Coturnix japonica: one gene and its partners. The protein of the gene in region 1 interacts with the protein of each later gene in a pairwise test. Links are inferred from orthologs where the notes say so. Each region holds a gene or a part of one and is shown in the gene's direction. Other genes may lie near its edges.

What was found.
Region 2: the proteins of WT1 (region 1) and WTAP interact in binary tests that used the Homo sapiens proteins (3 or more experiments, as listed by UniProt). The link is inferred for Coturnix japonica from reciprocal best matches to the Homo sapiens genes WT1 and WTAP.
Region 3: the proteins of WT1 (region 1) and DVL3 interact in binary tests that used the Homo sapiens proteins (3 or more experiments, as listed by UniProt). The link is inferred for Coturnix japonica from reciprocal best matches to the Homo sapiens genes WT1 and DVL3.

The regions. Positions count from the first base shown.
Region 1 is NC_029520.1:4,406,753-4,418,177, forward strand, and holds the start of WT1 (Wilms tumor protein), read left to right. Parts: upstream 1-5,538; 5' UTR 5,539-5,564; coding exon of another isoform or gene 5,565-5,618; 5' UTR 5,619-5,948; coding exon 5,949-6,339; intron 6,340-8,475; exon of another isoform or gene 8,476-8,584; intron 8,585-9,750; coding exon 9,751-9,873; intron 9,874-9,959; coding exon 9,960-10,062; intron 10,063-11,027; exon of another isoform or gene 11,028-11,042; coding exon of another isoform or gene 11,043-11,047; intron 11,048-11,425. Other genes in the region: uncharacterized protein LOC107314335, read right to left, coding at 4,384-4,725, 4,882-5,126, 5,252-5,486, 5,565-5,618. UniProt on the Homo sapiens protein: Transcription factor that plays an important role in cellular development and cell survival. Recognizes and binds to the DNA sequence 5'-GCG(T/G)GGGCG-3'. Regulates the expression of numerous target genes, including EPO.
Region 2 is NC_029518.1:41,042,041-41,052,666, forward strand, and holds the end of WTAP (pre-mRNA-splicing regulator WTAP), read left to right. Parts: exon of another isoform or gene 1-1,083; intron 1,084-3,967; coding exon 3,968-4,122; intron 4,123-5,845; coding exon 5,846-6,429; 3' UTR 6,430-7,072; downstream 7,073-10,626. UniProt on the Homo sapiens protein: Associated component of the WMM complex, a complex that mediates N6-methyladenosine (m6A) methylation of RNAs, a modification that plays a role in the efficiency of mRNA splicing and RNA processing.
Region 3 is NC_029524.1:13,824,245-13,826,944, forward strand, and holds the end of DVL3 (segment polarity protein dishevelled homolog DVL-3), read left to right. Parts: coding exon 1-32; intron 33-622; coding exon 623-835; intron 836-1,111; coding exon 1,112-1,510; coding exon of another isoform or gene 1,511-1,536; exon of another isoform or gene 1,537-1,981; coding exon 1,982-2,013; 3' UTR 2,014-2,200; downstream 2,201-2,700. UniProt on the Homo sapiens protein: Involved in the signal transduction pathway mediated by multiple Wnt genes.

The DNA.
Region 1 (11,425 bases):
AGATCACATGATCCCTAGAAAGGAGTCCCACTTATTTAGCTGTTCCTTTCATTGTTTCATTTCAGCATACAGATATAGAGAGAACAAGTTGGCAAGGTTTCTTTTTTTCTCCTTGTTTTGCTTCTTTCATTTCAAATAACATGTAAAGTACTTTGAGAGGCTTGTTAAGCCATCACAAAAGCAAGTCCTGGTTCTGATCTGTAATTCATTGGACCCTGCTATGATGTTATAGGAGGGAGAAACAGGGAAGTTGTCGAGATGAACAGTGTAAGAGTCTCTGACTTTGTGGCTACGGCAAGATCTTGGTGTTTTTAGTTCTTTTGTCATAACAGTACTCAAGTGGATGTAAGGTAATCAAGCATCCTTCAGATCTGAAGGGAAAGGAGTCTCTTGTGTCTCATAACAAATAAATTTGACTTCTAAGGCAAGCTGAACACACGAGCTCCCTCTCTCTCCTTTCTTCCTGCACCTCTTCCCACAAGCTTCATCTCCAACTGTCTATCACATGCAGCAGTGTTAGCACATAACAGAGGGCCTGGCCATAAATCTTTGGCCTCAAACAAAAGAATACATTGGGAAGCTTCAGAGTAAAGAACTGGGAAAGTTCCCATTTTGATCAGAGCTACACTTTCACTGACTGTTGCTTCTAGCTGACTGGATGAGGAAAATAATGAGCTTATTTGCTTTTTGTGTACTGCTGCAATCCAGACATATCAGTACATTCAGTCCAGAGAGAGAGAAGAGAGGTGTGCCTTCATAGGACTGCAGTTAAGTGCAGGACGAGGTGTGCTCAGTTCCTAATGAAGCTGCAGGGCTGCACCTTGTCTCCTGGGCATCTGTAATCAAAGAGACTCTGCCTGCTTCCCCCCCTGCATGCAGCAAGGTGTTACGTCCTTATAGACTGAAATCCTCCAGCACTGATTTCAGTGGAACAGCTCTTGCCCTAAAGCACCCTTAGTCAGGTGCTTGTGTGCACGTATTCCTCTGAGTCCTGTGAAAAGTACTGAGATCTCAGCTCAAGTCAGAGCAACCTCCCCAAAACATCATTTGCTTCCCCTGAGGAGGGCTGGTGGAAGGAGTATCTTCATGCAGGGTTACTGCAAAAAGGGGCTTTGAAAGAACAAAGTGAGATATGGACTTTGTGCTGTTGCAGTGTGCTTGTTTCACAGTGATGCTGTAACGTGAAAGCAGGCACAGATAGTATTAAGAAAAACATGGTTGGTTCAGATCTGCTGGAGAAACCAGGACGGAGCAATTCTTGTTCTGTGCCCCTTCCATAACACCCTACAGGCAGCGAGACCTGAGGCTGCTGGTGCTATCAGCTGCCGCTGCTTACCCACTGGTGACCACAAAGACTGCAGTGTGGCAATGAGCACAGCAGGTTTACTCTGAATGTTTCCTATCACTTCTGAATCTATAAATGTTTCTTTTACATTTCAGGTGTGTATCTGTGTTCAAATGCAACATCCCAGGGAGCTCCAAGAATTCTTAGGATCTCTGTGTGTAACAGGTACCGTTTCTGATTTCCTTCTGTACTATTGCATTTAGAGTGAAATATACTTATGTAGTGAAATCTGCATTCTACAACAGGAAAAATGAATCCCTTAGATCGTGGTTTCCATGTATCCATTTTTATGATGTGCTGCGTTCTACAGTATATTCTTATTTTCTCCTCCAAAAATAATAATTTTAATTACTTCAGAACCACTGGGGATAATGTAAAGACCTGGGCATTTCTATCTATCTATATACCTAAGGGCTTTTTTTTCACCCAGTTTCTTTTCTAAGTACCAAAATCCTGTGAGAATTCTATTTCATAATTTTAGCCGCTCCATGAATATTTCCCCTTGTATAACTGAGACTTTCAATACGCCACATATACCGGATCCGAAAGTTGTGGCCGACTGCTGGCACAGCCTGAGCATCCCCAGCACCTCGGCCAGGGCAGGGAGCGCAAAGACACCCTGCGTTGCGCCGGCTCCCAGCATCACATCGGCAGTTCGGCACAGTTCGGCTCTTGTGCCCTTCGCGGGGGCTTTAGGCGCTACAGCGCAGCGTCCCGGGCTCCGATCGCAGCTCCGGGTGGCCGCGGGGTCCCGCAGGTGCGGGAGGCGGAGCGCGGAGCCCGTCCCGTCCCTCCCCGCTCCGCTCTCCGGGTTGAGCGCGGGGTCAGGGCCGTAGAGCCGGCGGGATGCCCGGGGCTCGGCTCATCAATTTCCCGTGCTTGGTGCCCGCGGTCCGGCGCGGCGCTAATGCGGAACAAATTGAAACACATCCCCTCCGTAATTAGTTCCAGCGTTCGGAAGATTTACGGTAGAAAAGCGGTTTGAGTCCCGGCTCCCGGCCGAGATCGGCACCGAGGCCTCGGGCCGAGCGGGAGCTGCCGCCCGCGGGGGGCGCTGCGAGGAGGAGCGGGCGGCCCGGGGGTCTCCCCCGCCCGAATCTGTTCCTGCGGGGAGAGCGAGGTCGGGCCGCGGTGTGAGCCCGCGGTGTGAGCAGAAATTCGGCCCCTCTTCGCCTCTCCGCGCTCCTGTAGAGCTGTTCGCAGCTCTGTTTCTGCTGCTCTTGGCGCTTAAGTAATCAAACTCTGATCGGCTCCCCGAGTGAAAGGACACAGATCCCCCTGCGTGCCGTGAGCGGCTCCGACAGCGCTGGGGATTTATCTCTGTTTAAGCCAGTCTCCCCCCGCTTCGAGCCGCGAGGGGATCGTTTATGGAGCTTAGTAAAGCGTGGTGAGGATGGCTGGGCCGTTAACTGGTTGGCCCAGCAGCGGAGAGCGGAACGCTGCCTGGGAGGTGCTTCACGGCTCGGGAGCAGCGCCCTGAGCCCATTTTTCCCAGGATCGAGCGGAGCTTTCTGTAGAACAACCCCTGTCCCAGAAATACTCGTTGGTTGGTCTCGTACCGTTAGCCCGTGAGCAGCATCGGACGTGGATGGTTTCCCGGGAATTATAGGTTAAAACTATTCACCCATCTTTCTGCCCGTCCGAGATTTGGCTCGGACCGACTTTGGAGGGCAGAGGGTGGGAAGGTCCCGGCCGTGTGGGTCGGTACCCGGCAGAGCAGCCGGCGGCTCTGCGCTCTGAGCCTCGCCGAGCCCGGGATGGGCTGCGGGGCGCGGCGTGATCCCGCCGGAGGGGCCCGGGCGCAGGTTCCGGGCACCCGGGAAGGATGCGAGCGGTGTCCCCTGTGCCCGCCGCACTGCTTCGAAGGGGACATGCGGCCCCGGAGCGCTTCCGACCCCGCAAAGGAGGAGGGAGCTTTTATCTCTCGCTTGTGCTGACTGTAAAGAAACGGCTGCGGGAGCTGACTCCGGCTGTTTCCCTAAAGACTCCAGCCCTCCCCTCTTCTCGGGTTGCCCCTGTCGGCTGAAGCCGTGTCCCGGCTCAGCTTTGAGGAGCGTCCTCCCGTTCCGTCCCGCACTGCCCGGTGTCCCTGCGGGCTGCCGTGTGTCGGGAGGCGCAGGTGCCAGGCGCGGTGCCTTCCGCAGGGTCTCTGCGGGCCGAGCCGGGGGCCGCCGGGAGGGAGATGAGCTGATGGCCGAGGGCGCTGTTTGCTTCAGCTCTCGGCTGTGTCTGCTGGGAATGCGAGGGCGAAGATTTGGAAGGGCTTCGGTATTCTTCCCGGGCGGAATAATGCAGAACTAAGCGATCGAGAAAACGTTGCTCCTTTTCCAGAATATTTCTCAAGTTAGGCTAATAAAAAAAAAGAAAGATAGATAGATAAAAGCATGCAAACTAAGGAACCGTTCCGCTGCGGGAAGGGCTTTCTGTTTGTACTAAGAGAAGTCTGGTTTTCACGGGGAATCAAATGCTCTGCTTAAGCTACACAAGGGTTTGTATTTAAGTACGTACGTTGTAGATTTTTGGAGCCTGCGGTTAACGGGACCGACTCCACATGTTGGTCCATCTCTGAAAGTCCAGGTCCAGCAGCAGCCCCGACCTTCTCGCACCGTTCCACGCCTCGGGACCCCTCGGGTGCGGGAGCGGCGGGTTGCGAGCACACAGCGGGGGCGGGCGGGGGCAGAGGGGAGCGGTCTCCTCTCTCCGCGGGAGCGGGCTGAACTCGCTCATCTCCCGAGACCAAATTCGTTTTGTGCGTCCTCACAGAGAGCAGCAGCTCCTTCAAAGTTACGCAGCCCTTAGTATTGGCTAAGAAACCTTTCGCACTTATCGTGCGCGCGGATTTGTGTAACAAACGCACTTATGTACACATCTAAGAGGGCGATTTAAAAGCGATTTGTCTGAAGACTGCGTGTGAAAATGAACGCCGTTTCACTAGTAGCAGAACCCTACGGGTGTTGTTAATCAATGTAAGGACAACATGAAATTACACTCGACTTCGCCAGTAACGGGCCGTTTCGATTTATTTTGTTGCAGCAATTTTAAAACATCGTTTGGAGGTCGGCGATGGAAGCAGCGCTAACCTTTAATGCCGCGGGGAACGTGAACGCCGCAGCGCGAGTTGCCACCGGAGGACATCGGGGCCCACCCTTCCAGCGGCAGGTAACCGCTTTTATCACTACAGCTTCGGGGGAGCGACTTCTGACCGGGGCGCGGGGGTGCGAGTGTTGCCGGCCGAGCTCGGGGCGCAACGGGAGCGCACCCACAAGCGGCCCGGCGGAGCTGTCATACGCGTGCCCCAGGGGCTCAGCCTTCCCCCCGCCGGGTCGATAGCGATGAGTACTTCGGGAGGAGGGGGGCAGGATCCCGCTCTTGGTACGCGTCTACGGGGGGAGGCGGCGGGCTCGTATCTGCGCCGGATGCCGTGGTGCGCCTGGCCGCGGCAGGCACGGCCGAGTCCCGGGGGCCTCGCCGTCCGCCCTGCCGGTAGGGGCGGGGAAAAGGTCGCGGCCCCCTGGCTGCCGGGGCTAGCCCCCAACCCGCCGAGCTGACCGGGAGGGCTGTCCGAGATAACGCGTGAAGTGCCGCCGGGTTCGTGCTGCGGAGCCGCCGTCCGGGCTGGGTAGGGAAGGGAGAGTGCGGGTCCTCCCCGGAGCTGCGCCGGGTGAGTCCCCGATGCGGGCGCTCGTTGTGCTGCGGTCCTTCCGCGGCAGCCCAGCCACCTCCTCCCCTCTAGGCACGGGCGGCTCGGGGGACGCGGACGTCTCCCGCACGGGGAGAGCACCTGGAAGGACACATTTTTCCCTCGCCGGGTCGGCTCGCCTGCAGGGGTGGCGGCTTCTCCGCTCGGTGCCCGGGGTCCCGCGGGACGTGCGCGGGGCTGCGGGAAGCGGTGCGGCACGTACTTACGGGGCCGCCCGCATCCCTCTGGCGGTCTCGCCAGGTCTCTCAAAAGCGAAGGGATGTTAGGGTGAGATTTAGTGGCGCTTGCACCGGAGGAAGGGTGGGAGGGATGCGTAAGGGAGATATATTCTCCCACAGTAACCTCTCCCCCTCCGTCCTCGCGTCCCCACCCCCCGACCCCCCGCGCTCCCCACCCCCGGCTGGCCCGGGTCGGTTCAGCAGAGCGGGCTGTGGGCAGCCCCTTGACGAAGGTTGTGTGAATGGAGGATCTTCGCGGCTGACTCCTCCTCCCCTGCGAGCGCCTCTATTTGAGCTTTGCAAAGTTGAGGGCGAGCAGGCAGCCGAGGTGCGGCGTGCGAGGCGGCTGTGCCATCCCCCCCCCCACGGCACGCGCGGACAGACACACAGACACGGCCGCGGCCGCACGGACACGCGCGCACCCCGCCCTGCGCTACGAGCGGGCGCGGCCCCGGAGGCGATCCTGGAGAACAACCTTTCCCTGTCGCTGCTGCCCGCTCCCGCAGGGCTGGACCCGGGGAGCTGCGTCGCGGAGCAAACCTCCCCCAAGGGGCTGAGCTCTCCGGCCTGGTGCCTGCAGCCGGAGCCGGCCTCCGGCCTGGCGGGCAGAGGCCAGGTGTCCTGGAATAAGTGCGGCCCGGGGGGAGACTGGCTGCCCGGCGGCAGGCAGAAGGTCTGCGAGCAGATGGGGTCCGACGTCCGGGACCTGAACGCGCTGCTGCCCTCCGTGCCCTCCCTACCGGGCAACAGCAACTGCGCCATGCCGGTGAGCAGCGCGGCGCAGTGGGCTCCCGTCCTGGACTTCCCCCCGGGGGCCTCCTACGGCTCGCTGGGGCCGCACTCCTTCATCAAGCAGGAACCCAGCTGGAACGGGTCGGACCCGCACGAGGAGCAGTACCTGAGCGCTTTCACCGTCCACTTCTCCGGGCAGTTCACGGGCACGGCCGGGGCCTGCCGCTACGGGCCCTTCGGCGCCCCGCCGCCCAGCCAGCCGCCCTCCGGCCAGGCCAGGATGTTCCCCAACGGGCCCTACCTGCCTAACTGCCTGGAGAGCCAGCAAGCCATTCGCAACCAGGGTAAGGGCGGCGCCGAGCACCCGGCCTCGGGCTCAGCCCCGCGGGCACAGCCGTGGGCTCTCCGACCCGCGTTTGCCGAACGTACGGAGCCCCTGCCGCGCCCCTCCGGGCAGCTCCGGGAGCCGCTCTCGGCTCTCCCAAGGGCGCAGCGGGCTACCCCGGCCTCGGCCCTGGCTACGGCAGCCTCCTCTCTTCTCGGGACTGTATTCGGGCTGAGGACGGTCCCGACGTGGAGATGGGGTGGCTGCCCTCAGACCATTCCCTCTGCAAGCCGTGCAGTGTAGGGGCGGGGGTAGAGTTGTTTACCTCCTCCTGAATATGCGGGCTGCTGTCCGCCCGGTGCTGTTCTCCGGGCGTTTGTCGGACCTACCTCGGGAGCGCTGGCTCCTCGGGCCGGGCCGCACGCACCGGGCGGCTTCTGGTTCCCTCTCGGCGGCTCCGCGGCAGGGACACGGCGGGCTGCAAGCGTCGTGGCCCCGCTGTTCGCGCTGCCCCCAGAAATTGGCGTGGGTGCGCGGTTAACGATCGGTCAGCCCCCGCCTACGGAACGGGGTTATCGCTTAATGGTTTTTCTTCCAGCGGCGGCAATGTAAACATCTGCTGGAGCTAACGCGAACAAGAAGGGAGAGAGAGCGGAGCTCTCGCTGGGGATCCCCGGGCTGCGCCTCCCGCCGCGTTCCGTCCCCGCTCTGCCCGGCCCGGGGGAAGGTGCCCACGCACGGCGAGGCGGCTGGAGGAGCGGGCCCGGAGCAGCGCTGTCGCAGCCGACCGGAGGGTCTCGGGGCAGGCTCTGCGCTGCCGGCGGGTGTTCCGCTCTTCCGCGGCCCAGCAGCCAGCCTCGGGCCGTAGATTGGGTGCTGCGGGTGGCCGGCCTCCAGCTCCCGGCTGTTGCGGGGTGCCTTTGCTCCCAGGCGGGCCGGGGTAAAGGAGAGGGGGCCCGGACCAGGCGTTTGCCGGTCTGCCGATATCGAAAAACTGGGAGCGGAGCGCAGGGCCCAGCTCGGTTGGGGAAGTTACGCGGCATCCCCAGAGGCGGCCGTCGCAGCACGGGGCCGCTGGTGTTGTTCGGACACCTGAAAGCATTTCAGATATCTGAGACGGTTTTAATGGCCGAGCAGAAGTAGTGACGAGAAGGACAAGGTGGTTAAGTGGGTGCCCTCTGATTTCTAAGCCCCCAAAGCGAAAGGGAGCCTTTAACGCTCAGAAACACAGCACCCGTCTTGGCTGCGGCCTTAAGCCGGGCAGGGTTCCGTGCGGGCGGCTCCGCAGCTCGCGGGCACACCGCTGTACCCCGAGACGGCGGCAGCTCCCGCACTTGGCAGCGAGTCGTGCAGGTGTGTGCGTGGCCGTGCCCTGCTGCGGGGGGCAGAGCTCGGGCAGCACGGCTGCGGCGCAGCCCCTCCCTCCCTCCCGCTCCGGCCCGTCCGGGTAGCGTTCCTTCCTTCGCCGAGGAGGAATTCGGCAAAGGGTGCTCGCTTTTCTATTGATTGATTTATTTATTCTCGGCAGCGGATAAAAAGTTCTTGTTTTCGCTCTCCTCAAGGTTGAACTCCCGGGCTTATAGCCTGTTCTTCCGACCGTGGGAAAGACGTTACCTTGGCTCTGCGATGACACTTCAGCCAAGTCTAGGCTGGGGCGTGGGGGTAGGGAGCGAGGCTTTGGAAGCTCTGCCCAGCTTTCCCCTTCTGGTCCGCCCGTCTCCTTCATCCAAGCTGGGCTCCTCCACAACTGGAGTCCTCCCGCGGGCCCCGTGCTGCAGCAGCTGTATAGCTTTCAATTATTTTCAGCACATTTTAATCAGGCCCGACTCTGATAAAGCCCTAATTAAAGAGACCTCGCTATCGGCAGCTCGGTTCAGAACTCGGCTTTCTTATCACATTCCTGAAGCTTTGGGTCAGGCAACACCGGAAAATGCGGCCAAAACATCGTTCTGCACCGAGCTGCGTTGTGAAGGTCGCCAAAAATCTGCGCCGGGCCAAATGTACCGTAGAAAGTGTCAATGTTTTCGGAACGTAAAAAAAGAAAGAAAGAAGAAAAGGGGGAAAGGGAGTTGAAGGCTGAGCCTCTGCCCTGAGGGCCAAGGGAGGAGATAAGGAGCGAGAGGCGCAGCTGTGGGCCGGCATCCCGCACGGTACCGCGCTGTCAGCGCCGCTCGCACCGCCGTGAGCGGCTCCGGGCGGGGGCAGGCGATGGGCCGGGGCGAGTGAGCCCCGCCGTGCCGGGTCGGCTCCAACCAGTCCCGAAGGTGAGGGCTATAAAGCCTTCGGGATTTTTCTGTTGGGGACATTTTTTCTGATGGGGACACCAGCAGGTTGGTCAACCCCCGTATCGCGGCTCGATCCACTTTATTGTCTGCAGAGACAATCAACTGCGGAAACGGCACCCGGATCCTTGCGTTACTCCCATCGTAACGCCTCGGAAAAGCGCCTGTGATTATCAGCCGGGCACCAGGGTCCGAAGGGGGCTGGCAGAGGAGTCCGGCGAGTGCCCGAGAAGAGGGAGCGGGCTGAGGGACGGGACGGTGTGAGAGCGGGCGCTCGGGGCCGGCCTCGTTTGTTTTCCCAGCCCTCTCCGGGCTTTCTGTTTTGTTTTGCTGGAAGAGTGACTTCGGAGGAGCTCGGTTCTGGGGGCAACTGCTGACGAGCCGAGAAGCCGCCGAGATAATATTACTTTGTAATTACTTTCTTAGCCGAAGTTGTTTAGCCAGCTCCAAGTCATTAATGAAAGTCGGTGTCCGAGCACCTGATTTACGGGCTCGCAGCGGCCCGGGGTCAGCAGAGGTGCTCGCGTTCCATCTGAATCTGCCCAGCGTAGGAAACCAAATCGGCTGTTTGTTATTTTGGAGAGCAATTTTCGCTGAAAGGAGGAGTTTTAGTTTTGCGTGAAACATTCTTTATTGCAGACTCTTCAGAAAGCTGCTCTTAAAAAAAAAAGAGAGAGAGATTAAAGGGTAACTTCTAAATTGGAAACGGCAGAGGAGTACACAGAGCAGATGGGAATCTTCCTCTTTAATATGAGCAACAATTAATGAAAACATCCTTTTTATTACCGAAGCCGATCTGTTCTCTTGAAACGTGAACGAGACTTCCGACTTTCCTCCCCAAGGAGCGGGCTGCCCGCCTCGGCCCTCCCGGGAGCTGCCCCCCTGTACCCCGCCAGCCCCACACCCCGGTACCCCCGCACCCCTCGGGGTCACACAGGCATTTCCCTGCGCCCCCAGCCCCCCAGGTGCCCGTGGGTGTGCTGGGGGAGCGGAGATGGGGGCGCCCCTGGCTGCGCCTCTCCCCGCTGTGCCCGCGGCGCTGGGTCTGCCCTGGGGGCTTCTCTCACTCGACGGCCGCGTGGAGCCGCCCTGCGGGGGGCAGGTGCGGGCCGGGCAGCCCCCTGACCCCACGGTGCTTTCTCCGGCAGGTTACGGCACCGTGGCCTTTGACGGGACTCCGAGCTACGGCCACACGCCGTCTCACCACGCCGCGCAGTTTACGAACCACTCTTTCAAACACGAGGACCCCATGAGCCAGCAGCCGTCTCTAGGTAATGGCTCCCGGGCGGCCCGGCCGGCACGGCGCGGGGCTGGACGGCGGCCGCGGCACGGGCTAACCCTGTCCCTTTCTCCGCAGGGGACCAGCAGTACTCGGTGCCCCCTCCGGTGTACGGCTGTCACACCCCCACGGACAGCTGCACGGGCAGCCAGGCCCTGCTCCTGCGGACCCCCTACAACAGGTACCTCCGCCTCGCCCCGTTCTCACTCCCCTCGTTTCGCTTCGGTTGCTGCTCGGGATGCTCTGCTGCCGGGCGTGTTGCGCCAACGGCTTTCTTTTGCAGCGGGAAAAGAAGGTCGGGTCTGCTTTCCTCTTGAAACAAACAAACTAAAGCAAAACAACGACAACAACAAAAAGGAAAATAGGATGCACGCGTTTAAGTAAAAACCTGGCGCTGGCCCCATAGCCCAGACCCGCCGCGCCTCGGGCTTTCCCCTGCCGAGCCGGGCACCCGGCAGGTGCCGTCCCCGTTCCCGGGCCGCAGGGCTCCGCCGGCCGAGCCCGGTCCAAGCGTGTCCCAGAACATCCCTCGCTGCCCGAGGCGGGGCCCGGTGCCCGCAGCCCCACGCGCGGCTGCCCCGCTCCGGCCCCACGGCGCAGCGACCCGGCTGGGCAGAGGAGGGCAGGGCAGGGCAGGGCCAGCGGTGCGCGACGAGAGTGTGCGGGGTCGGGCGGTTGTATGTCAGTTCCCTGTAAGGTTTGGGCTCCACTCCTTTGAGCGGAGGGGACCGGACCGCAGAGAGGTGATTTTTGGAGCACGGGGCGATACAGCCCTCAGATTTCCTTGCTGGGAAGAAAGTACTTGTGGAGTTTTGCTCCCGCAAACAGAAGGCCCGCTGCGATCGCGGCTTCTCTTCCTTTTTGGTGTGGCGTGGGGGCTGGGCGTGCCTCTCGCAGTTTTACAACGTGTTTAGTGAGAAGTTCCCCAAAATTTATTCTTCAACTTTTTGTGAACTTGGAGCCGGTCCCGTATCTCGGAGTTGCTAAGTAACTGCAGCACACAAAACAATGTCCCTGCGCGAAGGAAGCCGCGGCGGCTCCTCTCGTAGGCCGGGTCTATCGCCTCTGATTAATCAGAACTGGAAGTGGGACAACACAATTCTGTCACTTCCAGAAGCCGCTTCGCTAACGAACGTGAGTTGACGTCAAGGGAAGGAGGGAATGAGGTAATGAAGGAAGGAAAGAAGCCTATCCAGAGAGATTAGCGTGTGGAATAATTGGCGGGGAGAGCTCCTGGCCGAGTGGACCGAAGCGGCTCCCCTTGCGGGGCCGTCTATAATTAGGTTACGCTGGGAGCCTTACGAAGGCAGCGCACCCCGCGGGCTTTCTCTGCCCTCGGCGGGGCGGCTTCTTCGCCGCTCTGCTCTGCGCTTTGGCCACCGGCTCCGAGCTCAGTGAGGGCTGCAGCCCTTCCCTCGAGTGGAGACCCTCCTCGGTGCGAAACCAGCCCAACTCCTGCCGTTTCCCCGGCGAGCAGCGCCGGTTCTTCCGAAGGGTCTGCAAAGCGTGATCCGAGGGGTTCTTTTTCTCATGTTCCACTGAAG
Region 2 (10,626 bases), on another chromosome or scaffold:
GAACTGTTCTGGATGGTTGGTAATGCTGTGGACGCCTCAAAATTAGGACTGTACAAGAACGTACGTTCTATCTAATTGCAGGTTTAAAGTTGTTGGAAACAGTATATATTTGATCACAACTAGCGTGTATAAGAAAAACTAGTTGTGATAAGTATTACACTGCATGTTTTCATGCAGAAATGAGATTTTTTTGATCTTCTATATTAACTGATCTCAAATGCTCTATATGGAAGGCACACAATGACAGCTGTCTTCAGTGTTGGTGGGGTGTTTTTATTCCTTTGTACACCTGTTTTTTTTGTATTGCACTTCTATATAAAATGTGCCTTGAAATAGTTGTAATATATAGTTCAAGGAACACTATTGGTTATATTGTTGTACTGTGAAACTCCTGGGACGAACGAGAATCAACCAGGTTGTTGTTTCTGCATTGTCTCGTTCTCTGAATTAAAAAAAAAAAAAAGACACGATTTTAACAAAGCACAAGAAGTTAAATGCATGCATTTTCCTCGGTGGAATCAGTGAAGGAACCTTTGCTACTCTATTGATGCTTCTGTTCTGTTGTCCCAAGTTATTTGTAAGAGTAGCAACAGGGGACAGCTGGGAGTGCAGATCTGAGGTGTGTAAAGTGAAATTCAGATTTGATATAGCATTTGTATATTTATTTTTTATCTTGGCAAATTGAGCTCTAGTAAACTTAAGGTTTTGATTTTTCACGTCAGTTGGATGATATTTTATGACTGTCTGATTCTAGAAAAATGCAGTTTTAAGTTAAAAAAGATTCAGCTGTCACAGAAGGTGATGTATTCTCTTTCAATGATTTTAACTAAGGTAATGTTACATATTTTTAACTTAAAATTATCACCTGTGCATTTGACGGATTAATATGGGATTGAAGATTAGTGTACTTACGCAGATTTATTTTTTTGCATGAGTAATGATTTAACAGCAAAGAAAAACATCTAGGAAAACTTTAAGTGATTCATCTGGGATTATTTTGCTATAGCAGAGTCTAAGATTTTAATGATCTAGCATCAAAACAGAGGTAAGACTTGCGTTAATAAACTGTTAATGTGTCGCCAAGGCATTTGTAAAGCTTATTATAATGTGCTGATAGAGTCGTGCCATGTAGATTGCTTGTTTTACTTGGGGTTCAGAAATGATTCAAATACCATTAAGTACAGCTTGATGGGTTTCCTCAAGTTCTCAGAGTCTTTAAGTGAGACACAACTGAGACAGAAGTAACTATTACCAGTTTCCTGATAAGGAAGGTATCAGTTTTTTTTTTGTCACTTCCGTAGCTACATTGTGCTTTAATATGCATCATATAATTTTAAGTCACAGTGGTGTGAATGTGCATAATTAAATATGCAATAGTTGGAGTAGAGAGAGAGAGATTTTATTTCCTGGTATAGAACTGAAGCTATCTGCATAACTGGTCATGATTTTATTGATTTTTTTTTTTTTCTGAAAGGGCAAAGAAATGATTAAATCATGTAAAGCATCTATAGAATTTTTAATTCTTTGCCCTTTTCCCCCCCTCTTGGTTTTAATTCTCCTTCCTTGTATGCAACCACTCTTATTACATGGTATCTGACTTGGTATTTAAAAGAGCTGATGCTTCTATTCACATCAACAGCTTTGTGTGTTCTTAAGAAAATATGCTGACTGCAACACTAAGCAGTATTAGTTCTAGACCTTAACCAAAGATAAAAGTGTACAGTATAATCCTTGCTAATGCCTAGGGAGAGAAATAGAAGAGCATCTGATTGAGGGAACGGTTATGTTAAGCTATTTGTAATGTCATTATACGTACAACGTACACTTGAATTAAAAACCAGTAATATCAATTGCAAAAAGCTTAATACAAAGAGCACTAGCTTTCTGAAACTTAACCACTTAATTCTTCCAGGTTTTGTTGTGTGTATGTTCAAGTGGATTTGTGGAAACAATGCCAAGTTTTAGTTTTAAAGCTAGTAGGAATTACTTTTCATAGTTACTGGATTTGATATTCTTGCATGTGTTGTATTCTATGTAAATTGCAAGGGAAGGCTACTTGGTGCCATGCTAACTCAGAACATCTGGAAAAAAACTTGATGGAAAGAAATAGCATTATAGGTAACTATGCAAATTTCTATACAGGTAATAAATACTTTACATTTTGGCAGGAATTACATGAAGGAACTGATGAGATTTTTAAACCTGTCCCAATGTCCGGCTACCTGGTACTTCTAATTCTGCAGGTGACATTGTTTTGTGGAGAGAAAAAACAGTAAATGACTTCAGCACTGTGAACTCCTTAAACTTGCAGTGAATGATGAATACAGTGACAAGGATTTGCAAATGCCTAAAAATCAATGCACATCTGCCGAAAAGCTTTTGGGGTTGCATCACATTGGTCATCTCCAAAGTGGTCCTGCTTCTTTGCGCAGAATGAACATCTCTAAGAAAACTTGCATCTTGTGTTACATGGATTGTATTATAGCTCAACACAGTTTAAACTTCAAGGACCTGACATTGGACATCACATCAAGAAAGAAAACAGGTTGCTGCCTTTAGCAGAATTGCAGGCTTCCAGGACCTTTTGCAGCCAGATTTCTTCTGGAGCAGCCCATCTGAGATTTGGGAGAGTCAGTTGGAAAATGTTCTGTGAGGCAGAGTTTGCAGAGCTTAAAATTGTTTAAGGCTTTAATGTTTGAAAGGTAGTTGATAAGAAAATTACTATTTACAATTCTTTTTGTTGCTTGTGTTGGTTGCAGGAGAGAAAGAGAATATGGCTGTGAATCACAGTAGTGGAAGTTTCTTATTGTTTTTTTTAATCCTCAAAATTTCTTTCTTTGTCACTTAAAACTTAAATGACCCTCTTGCTCTTGGATAGTAATGCAAATCCTGCCCTTGAATTCACAACAAACCTGTTCATGGTTTATAGTTTTATATTTTTTTTTTGCTACAGGGCTTATGCTTCTGTAGGAAGACAGATTTACATTGTGTTGCTGAGCCTTGTAAAAGAACTGATTGTGGACACTATTGTGAGTTTGGCAGACAGTTTGAAGGACTTTTGAACTCTTCCTCTTTTATGGAGTCGGCCACATTGCCTATATATTAATTTGCATACTACTTCCTATAATGCTTAACAGTACAGTTTTATTCGTCATGATTAATGATGTGATGTTACCTATTTAGCAGAGAAAATCTTGACAGCTCAGAGTACTTTTTTCTGCCCACTTCTCAAAGAAACTGGGTATTCTAAAACATTTATGATCTGAACTTGTCATTCTAAATGGGTGTTACTGCTTCCTTAATTTCCTGCCAACTTTTAACTGCATTTTACTTTCTCCTCATCATCTAAGATGTGCTGAGCAAAAGCTGATTATAGGAATTACTGTACACTGCTGTCAGATATACAAATTGAGTTGAAAAGTAGACATGCAACTCTTCAGTATTCAGAAGAATGTCCTAACCTCTCAGAGGAAAAATGGATGTCACTATAAACATAATGATCATTTTCTTAATATTTTGCCCCAACTTTGTTCTTAGTTTTACTCATGTGATAAAGGAAAAAGGCTTTTGTTAATAGTTTAGTGTATGCACTTTGAATGCAGTAATTAATCTTTAAAATTGCAAGGCACATCCTTAATCACTTAACTCAGCTGAGAATTAGCACATGCAAGATTGTGCGGGCTGGTAATCCAGTTTCTGGTATCAAAAAAAGAACGATGCTTGTTCATGTTTGCAGTAATAAAACTTGCCTTCTGCTTTATGGGACATCAACAGAAGATCAACTGACGCTGGAACAGCATGCGGTAATATAGGGAGATTTTCTGCTATGACAATTATGTTGAGACATAATGTTCCATGAATTGTGACATGCAGAAATTGTATCTCCTTTTTGTCTGTAATTGTGATTGAGGAAGGTTACAGAAGGTTTTGTCTTCAATTTGTGATAGATTGGTTCTTTCCTTTGCAGCCAAACAGGCAAAAAGTTAATGGCGAAGTGTCGAATGCTTATCCAGGAGAATCAAGAGCTTGGAAGGCAGCTGTCCCAAGGACGTATTGCACAGCTTGAGGCAGAGTTGGCTTTACAGAAGAAATATAGTGAGGAACTTAAAAGCAGTCAGGATGGTAAGGGATTTTCTTAAGAAAATGGAAGTTGCCTTGCACTTCTGCTAGCTTAATATTCTGATGATATGGGTATTTTTTTAAGTCTTTGCCAGAGTTAAAGGGCAATACCAAGTAAAACGTGACTGTCTTAAGTCTCTACTGGTAGCCTTAAAAAAAAAAAAATGCCACCAAAAAATAGAACAGAGGTTAAATTTTGGACTACTGGTGGGATTTGCAGCTCCTTGTAATGTGGGATTTGAACGTAAAACTACTAGACTTTGTAGGTCTTGCTATTTAACATGGGATATTAAGGTAAGCATGCATTGAAAAAACAGAAAGGTTGTGAACTGACTCATTTGGGAATTACTTGAAGGGGGGGGAGGGGGGAGAATGTAAGAAGAATAAAAATGCAGTTTTTTATTAAGCAGCTGAGATTAATTAAAATGTTCCATTATTGTACTCATGATCCAAATTTTACAGCGTTGTGAATGTAAATTAGAATTAGCTGTAAACTCTGGCATCTTGTATGTTTTAAATGGCAGGGAAATGCAAATTTTGAAAATCTTCAGCAGAAAATTCAGCCCACATTCTGTGTTCTTTGAGATGCTTGATGAAAGTACTTGTAGTCAGGTAGATTAGACAATAGATGATCTGATTAGTACACTTAAATCTTGAGACGAGCTAATTAATTAAACCCAGGTATCTTTGTTTCACACCTGGTGTCTGTAAGGTAGCATGGACATGATTTGGCATTTGTCTAATATATCTTGTTATTTTTTTTTAAGGGTATGGTGTTTTTTAGTAGCAAGTAGCCTTAGTAACTACTGTTTATAAACTAAAATGAAGTACCTTACCTAGTTCATAACCAAAGCAAAGTAGACATTTCTTTAATGATTTCTGCTCTTGAGTGCAGTGTAGTAAAGTAAGCTGCAGAACTACTATGTTTTTAGGCCCCAACTTCTTCCTCATATGAACAATGACTATGATAATCCTGATATTTTCTTAGTGATTTTTTTCCATGCTAACTGGCATTTAATTTTGATTTTTTACAACAATAAGCAGTTTGCATGTTACTTGCTCAGTTTCGTTAATGTGCAGTTGAATTCAGGCTGCCATGTTTATCTTTCAGGTCAAATTCTTTATGGTCCAAAATGCAGCCCCAGTTGTAAAAGATTTTTTTCTTCTGTACATAAGAACTTTGTGGAATGAACTTTTGTTGATAATAAATTCAACAGAAGTTTTACCCTCCCTGTTTGTGTCATGTTACACAGGATTAAATGTATTATAAGCAGCCGGAGCTGATGTTTCCCTGAAATGTGACTACAATTCTTTTGTCACTGGGTAGGTTTTTGTGATTATTCAGAACTTATCCCATGCAGATAAGCTTTTTATGGTCACCTTTACAGTATTTCTGCAATGCCCTGCACTTCAGTAAAAGCAGATATGTTAGAATCTATTTGCAAAATATGAATTATTGGAATTGAGCTGCTTTCCGTGCATCTTCTTGTCCAGAAATGAATTTCTTCTCATATATCCAAAGTCATAAACATAAAAAGTATAGCTGATAGTTTAACATCTCCTTCAGAGGCAGAATATCAAAATGGTGTGCATATCTAATGATTGAAAAAGTTGGTTGAGTAACTTCAGCATAAAATATTGCTACAGGATTTAAATTTTCTTGTCTGACGTTCAAGCTGTATGTGGGTTATTAAGTATTTGCAACACATGTGTTTTCTTTGTTTAGAATTGAATGACTTCATCATCCAGCTTGATGAGGAGGTAGAGGGTATGCAGAGTACCATTCTAGTGCTTCAGCAGCAGTTGAAGGAGACTCGCCAGCAGTTGGCGCAGTACCAGCAGCAGCAGTCCCAGGCCTCCAACCCAGGTACCAGCAGGACTCCATCTTCTGAGCCTACAGACCAGGGAGAGGCTGTGGGGAAAGACTGCAGCCGTCTGGCTAACGGACCAAGCAATGGTAGCTCCTCCCATCAGCGGACGTCTGGGCCTGGATTTTATAGGGAGGGTAGCAGCGCGGAAGATGACTTCCCGGCTTCTCCAGGGAATGGTAATAAGCTGTCCAACCACTCTGAAGATAGAACTGGTAGAGGAGGTGGTAGCTACATAAACCAACTCAGTACTGGGTATGAAAGTGTAGACTCTCCCACTGGCAGTGAAAACTCTCTCACTCACCATTCAAATGACACAGACTCCAATCATGATCCTCAAGAGGAGAAAACAGTAAGCGTGAAAGGTAACAGAACTACGGGTTCTCGGCATGTCCAGAATGGTTTGGACTCCAATGTAAATGTGCAGGGTTCAGTTTTGTAACATTTTTTCTGCAGCATTTTTATACAGTGTCATTTAAATTGGGAGAGGATACTGTTCAGAAGCCGTTTAAATTAGTGCATACTTGTCACAATTTTTGCCTTTTTGTGGATTTCTTTTTGCTTCGATACCTCTGCCACTTTGGGAATTTTAACAGTTAATTACGTTGAATGTTGCTAAAAGGACATTTGTGTAGCTCAAGTTATTTTTATATGAGTTAATGTGAAGTTGAAATGGAAATTATTTCCATAAAGTATAACATAAATGATGTCTGTACAAATCTGTGTATATCTAGAACCTGTGCTGTGTAAGGGCATTCTTACTCATACTGTTATACTTAACACCACCTTCGAGATTTGTCATAATAGCTGTGGGTTTATGACTGCCAAGTTTGCCCAGTACAGTAGTTTTATCACTAAAAGATGGACTTGCTGAAGGAGTCCCTTAGTAGTTTCAGTGTTAATTACAGTTTTTCCCACCATACATCTGTGCATTTTCTCCTTAGGTGACCGAATGTTTATGAATTGTGTGCATAGTTACTCAGTTTTTAAGAACTGTTGTATCCTGTTTATGCATATTGCTCTGTGACTCCAATATTATCTTACCTGTACTGACCAAACCTAAATAAAAACTTTTAATAATGTAATTTCCTCATTGTTCTCCCTTGGCTTACACGGCTTACTTGTATGCGGTGTCATACTCTTTGGATTGAATTTGTTTCTGCACCAGTCCTATCTAATACAGATTATGCCAAGTACCTGTGCTTATGTTATCATGTTAATTTCAGGCCAGCCTTTCAGTATTTATTCTACAGATATATATATATTTTTTTTTTCCTTATAGATAGTTTAAAAAACAACAAAAAAAAATTAATAAAAGCAAGCTTCATAGTTTGAAACTGGTTCTTGTTAAAACTTAGGAAGTGTCCTGGAGGTAAATGTGTCATAATTTAGTTTGTACTTCTAAGCGGTTGAATTACTTCTTAAGGTGATACTGTTTTTGATTGGTCTATGGAAGGGGGAGCTTAGTGAACTGACTTTGTAGGTGTTGCAAGTAGGGGGGAGAACACGCTGCTGTTGAACAAAGCAAGTCTGGAATTTCTCAGAACCTGAATTTCTGGTGATTGTTTTCTGTCTGTTTGTGGTTGTAGCAATATGGAAGGTGATGAAAAGGGTACCAACTTCAGCAAGCACTGCTGATAGGGGAAAAAGGAGAGTATTTAACTGTACTTTCAGGTCGACTTAAGTCTGGTTTCAGCATTTTTCTAACTAAGAATCTTGCAGTTACCAGACAGCTAATGCAATTCCCTCACATGCATCTGCTAAATTAATATTAAATAGCTTACAGTGTGCCATTTACTTTGGGAATACAGGAACTGTTGTTTGAAAGTAATATTTCTCTAAAGTTAGGAGATACTTGGGTGTAACTACAGGTTAGATAGTAAAATCATAGATTATAGAAGGGCTTCCATTGTATTAAATGAGAATTAACACCTCTAGTATTACTGTCTGCAAAAAGTAGAATTAGTTACAACTACTATTAGCCTTTGTGTATGTTGGAAACATACTAGTCTATGTACCACTGATACTTTAATTTCATAGAGCTTAATTAGAGGTTTAAAACAACTCAGCAGTCACTGGAAGTATTGATTCTATTGGTGATACCGCATGGGGTGGTTTGTTGTTGTTTCTTTTTTTTGGAACATTACTTCAGCCCTTACTGCCTGAAAAAAAGCAGTTAATGGACAGTTGGGCAAATAGAAATTAGGTGACAAGAAAAAAGTACCGGCATCCAAAGGTAATTTCTGGTTTACAAAAATCCCTGATAACATAAATATGTATTTGCTGGTGCTTTACATTTGGCTTTAATATCACCTGATTATACTGTGTATATATATGTACTTAAGATACTTTGTGTATATTATTATAAGTTTAAAAGGGTAGTAATAATGATAGACAGTTACAATGACTTGATAATACATATGGTAGAAAACCTTGTGAGAATGGTGGTGGTTCTGCTCTATCATGTAACCGGCTTGCTTTTTTGCAATGCTTACTGCAGAATAGTGAAAAGCAGTATAATAATACACAGATAAATGTTAAAATCAGTAATGTTCACATTCTGGCTGTCAATACATACAGCCTATGGTATGGCTCTTAATAATCCTGGAGATGACTGCTGGTGCGTTGTTTTCAGGAAAGTCCTGTTTTCAGGTTGGTTTTGATTAAGATAATTCATTTTGTGTCATACCTACTGATAAACTTAGAGTTTCGCTGCTCATTCTAGAGTACAGCTGGCTGATAACAAAAACTGAAGTTTGCATGGTATTCTTGAGGCTTTTAACTGGATATTGAGGGGGGGAGCTATTCTGTACACCTATGCATTACAATGCACTTTGATTCCCTTTGTGGATCTCCATGTGGGTTTGCTGGCAAATTCCAAGATGAGGTAAGTTATTCTAAACCTGGTTGTTCAGACTTCACCCCTTCTGCTGTCTTTAGTCCTGTAAATTTAGGTTAAGATCTCTGAACATAAGTGCTTATATAAATAAGGCCAAAAGAAAAGAAATGGTTTGTGGCAGCAAAGAGATTTTCCCCAATTATTTGAATTAAACTTCATCTAGTGTTAGTCTTCATTTTGCACAATGCTTCATTACTGAGGGAAGGACTCTCTTCATTGGCCTTAGGGAATAAGTAATTTTACATGGTTTTTTTTCAACTCCTTTGCACTAACTATTTAATACTGATTATTTTAGCTGATGGAGTTAAGGTGCATGAAGCGTTCTCACGAGCATTAAGGGCCATGGATGTTGGGAGAAAATGGATATTGGAAAATGAGATATGCAGAGACGTGAGAAAGAGAACTCAAATGGAACAAAAAGAGTAAGTAGATCAAATAGACGAAAAAGTTTCTAAGTGCCTCGTTCTCAGCAGTTGAGGTGGGTAGCTCCTAATGGCATCTGACCTTTGAAGGGGAGTGCCAGGCTGCTCGCAAGCTCTGGTACAGGCTGCTGCCCTGCCTCTGCTTGCAGTACTGACACAGGGGTTTCCAGTGCCTCTACTGTATGCCCAGGCATAACAGAGTGAAGTGACAGTCAAAAGACCTCTGTATTTGCTTCCTGTTTAGAAATGTCCACCTAAGAAACTGACTTGTTTCACACTGTGGTATGCTGAAAATGTTGAAATGTGAAGTATTCTACATACCTGTTCCACCAACCATTGCATTTGAAGTCAAGGGATGGCTACGTTTGATACATCTGTTATATTAAAAAAACAAAGGAGGACATATCATAACAGTTCTTTCTGTAGCCTATTCCTACTGCATTATGAAGCCCTAAGAACATCCCACTCTGCATGGGTCAAATTCTGACAAATTCCTCAGCTTACAGCTCATATTTTATATGATAATAAATGGGAAAAATACACACAGACTCCTGATGTCAAAGGGAACTGCTGTGGTGCGTTCAATGGGCCTGTTATCAAGGCCTGCTGCCAAGCCTTTCTCCAGCAGGCTCTCAGGGCTGAGCTGCTTGCTTCTGGCAGCACTGCCCATGTCATAGGTAAGACCTGCACACAGCAACATGCAGGATTCTTTTTAGAGTTTTACTTTGTTCTCTTCACTTACCCCATTGGATGTTTTCTCTCCTGGATCTAGAGCTATCACTGGGAGCACTGTGCCTATTGGTCTCACTAGTGTTGCTTAGAAAAATGACCCTGCCTATTTCTGCTTGATTTTAACCTCTGAAACATCTAGCGGCTGATCTAAGCAACTTTTTCTTCTGTGAATTGGATTAAGCATGCTGTATGTAACTTCTTTTTTCCATGTACTATTTCAATCAGTCTTAATGTGTTGCATCTGACCCCCACAAGTGGTGCACCTATCTAGTTAGTCTCTGTGTTACCTGTAGACTTACTTATATATTACATGGTCAGCACTAGGACTGTTACTCTGGCTTTATCAGTGAGCTGCTGTTCACTGCTCACATATACCACTGGTCTGGTAAGCAAGTCAGTGGCTCCACCTTCAACCCTGTACAGTGTATTAAAGGCACGTGTCTTTTAAACACCAACAGCGATTAACAACCCCTTGAAACCAGGCCTATCGACCCTCCCTCACGCACCCTCCCCTCCGTCAGGCCCCGCCCCGGCAGTGTGTGCACAGGCGCGGTGTGTGGTGGCTGCAGTGTCCGCCGCGAGCTGT
Region 3 (2,700 bases), on another chromosome or scaffold:
GTGCTATTACATCTTCGGGGACCTCTGTGGAAGTACGACACTTGACTCTTGGTTTGGCATGAGTGAGAGGGAAAAGATGAAGGGAGACAAAGTCCTGCAGAGCTCTGCTAACACAATGAGGGCGTACCTACAGTTATTACCACCAGACTGAGCTCTTTGTTCTGCAGACTCTGGTAGAGTGGGATAAAGAATATCCCAACTTGTTTGTTGTGCTGATGGAGCTGTGAAGTTGGAAGCAGCATTGACAGTGTCACCTGCTCTGTGTTCTTTTCACCTGCATAACCTTAGTCTTTGCCATCTCTTTTTTTCAAGGCCCTGAACTTCCAGGGTTGGAAAGTGCTCAGACAACTGAGTTATGCTTAAATGAGGGGGCTGGTGGGAGTTAATTAGTGAGGTAGAAGATAGCTGTGATGTGGTCCTTTCTGATGTGAAAGTTGTTTTACCCAGCCTGTTTTCCAGCCAGAAAGGGCAAATGCCTGTATTTCATGGCAGAGAGAGTGCCAAGTCCTTTAGTCTCCTTGCATGCCCCATCATTGTCCCTGTGAGGGCGGACATGGAGCTTCAGCATCACATGTGGCTGTCTTTCCATTTGGCTTAAGCCCTCTTCTCTGCTTTCTTGCAGACATGGCTAATCTGTCCCTTCATGATCACGATGGCTCCAGCGGTGCTTCAGATCAGGACACTTTGGCTCCGCTCCCACACCCAGGAGCTGCACCCTGGCCCATGGCTTTCCCGTATCAGTATCCACCACCTCACCCATACAACCCACACCCCGGCTTCCCTGACCCAAGCTACAGCTACGGAGGGGGCAGTGCAGGCAGCCAGCACAGTGAAGGTGAGTGGAAAATATCAGAATGTGCCTGTGTGGGCAGATGCAGCAGGAAAAGGCTGCTCCTTTAGACAACACCTAATGTATGGGGGGAGCAAGCATAAAAGCCTTCGTTTTGGTGAATTCCAGAAGGGTTATGTGACTCAGCATTGAGAGACTGAGAGCATGGACTGTGCAGGCAGTGCTGCAGTGTGTTCAAGTCCTCTCTTGGTTAGAGGAGCATCCTTTCTTCCTGACTTGTCCCTTCTTATGATTCCTAATGTTGCCATGTGTACTTTGCAGGGAGCCGGAGCAGTGGTTCCAATCGCAGTGGCAGCGAGAGGAGGAAGGAAAGAGAGAAGACCGGAGAGTCCAAGTCCGGTGGCAGTGGGAGTGAATCAGACCACACCACGAGGAGCAGCATGCGGCGTGAGCGTGCGGCCAGCGAGCGCTCGGTGCCTGCCAGCCAGCACAGCCAGCGTAGCCAGCACTCTCTGGCTCACAGCATCCGCAGCCATCACAGCCAGCAATCCTACGGGCCGCCCGGCCTCCCCCCTCTCTTCAGCCCCCCCATGTTGCTGATGCCTCCACCACCGTCAGCCATGGGGCCCCCCGGGGCACCGCCGGGCCGTGACCTGGCATCTGTGCCCCCCGAACTGACAGCCAGTAGACAGTCCTTCCGAATGGCCATGGGCAACCCCAGTGAGTTCTTTGTGGATGTAATGTGAAGCGCCCGTCCCCTGTCTGTCTGCTGCCCCTCCTTCCCCCCCTTCCATCCCCATCGTTTGTCTCCTAGGACCAGCCCTGGCTTCATCCCTTGTTTTTTTGGGATTTTTTTTTTTTTTTTTGTCTTGATAACTAAAAGAAAAAAAAAAAGGGAAAAAAAAATAATAAATGGAACTAAACCTTGATTCTAATCCCTCCTCAAGTGGGGTGGACGGGCCTGGCAGCCCTGCTGCGTTCCACCAGCCCATCCCGCCACCAGAACCATGTATTGCTGATGGTTATTCCCTCCTGATGGTAATTCCCTCCTGCCATCCTCTCTAACCCCATTAATCCGCATCCATCCCAGCACCCTGTGCTGCTTGCCCGTGTGTCGCTGCTGCCTCACTCCTTCCGCCCTAAACATTCTCTTCTTTCTTGTCACCCTTTTGTGTTTCTTCTATCAAGCAGCAAAGAATTACGGGGTGTTTGACTTTCTCTGAGCCTGCTGCCCACAGGGGGGAGAGCTGGAGCGTGGCGTGGCCCGACAGGAGGACACGGAGCTCCAAGGGCGCTGTGCGCGCATGGCGCTGAAGATGGCTGCTTTTCTCCCCCTAGCGGAAGACGCCCTGAGAGGGGAGCCGGGCCCAGCCTTACATGAATTTTAAATCCCTTTGTAGTTGCCTTTCAGCCAATGTCTGAATGTTCCAGGGCTTCACTGCCTGTGGGGAATGGGGAGATGGTGCCCTTTGCCTCCCCTTCTTGCCCCGGCCTTAGGGAAGAGCACTCCTTCCCCCTGCCCTGTCCTTGGCACTGGGGCCATGCCCCCTGCCTTACTTCCTATGGGACTTGTAGAATTCAGGGCTATGGGGTGAGTGCTCACTTGGCCCAAAGAAGCCTAGAGAGGGCCTCTGCCCTGCTCTTTGCCCCCGTCACTTGCAAGGGCAGTCCTTGGGGCAGCTGTGGCTCTGCCATTGCAACACCACACAGCAGTGGGACCTTTTTGAGAGCTGAGAATGCAGCCAGTGAGTGAGGGAAGGCACACTATGGGGGAACACAGTGTTTGTGTGCAGAGAGGGGCAGCACTGACCTTACCCTGCTCCATTCCCTGTGTGCGATGCTTGGGAGGGACGTGAGCTTTGTGGGCAGTGCTTGCAGCTCCTCTGGGCTCACACAGAGCTGTGGGTCAC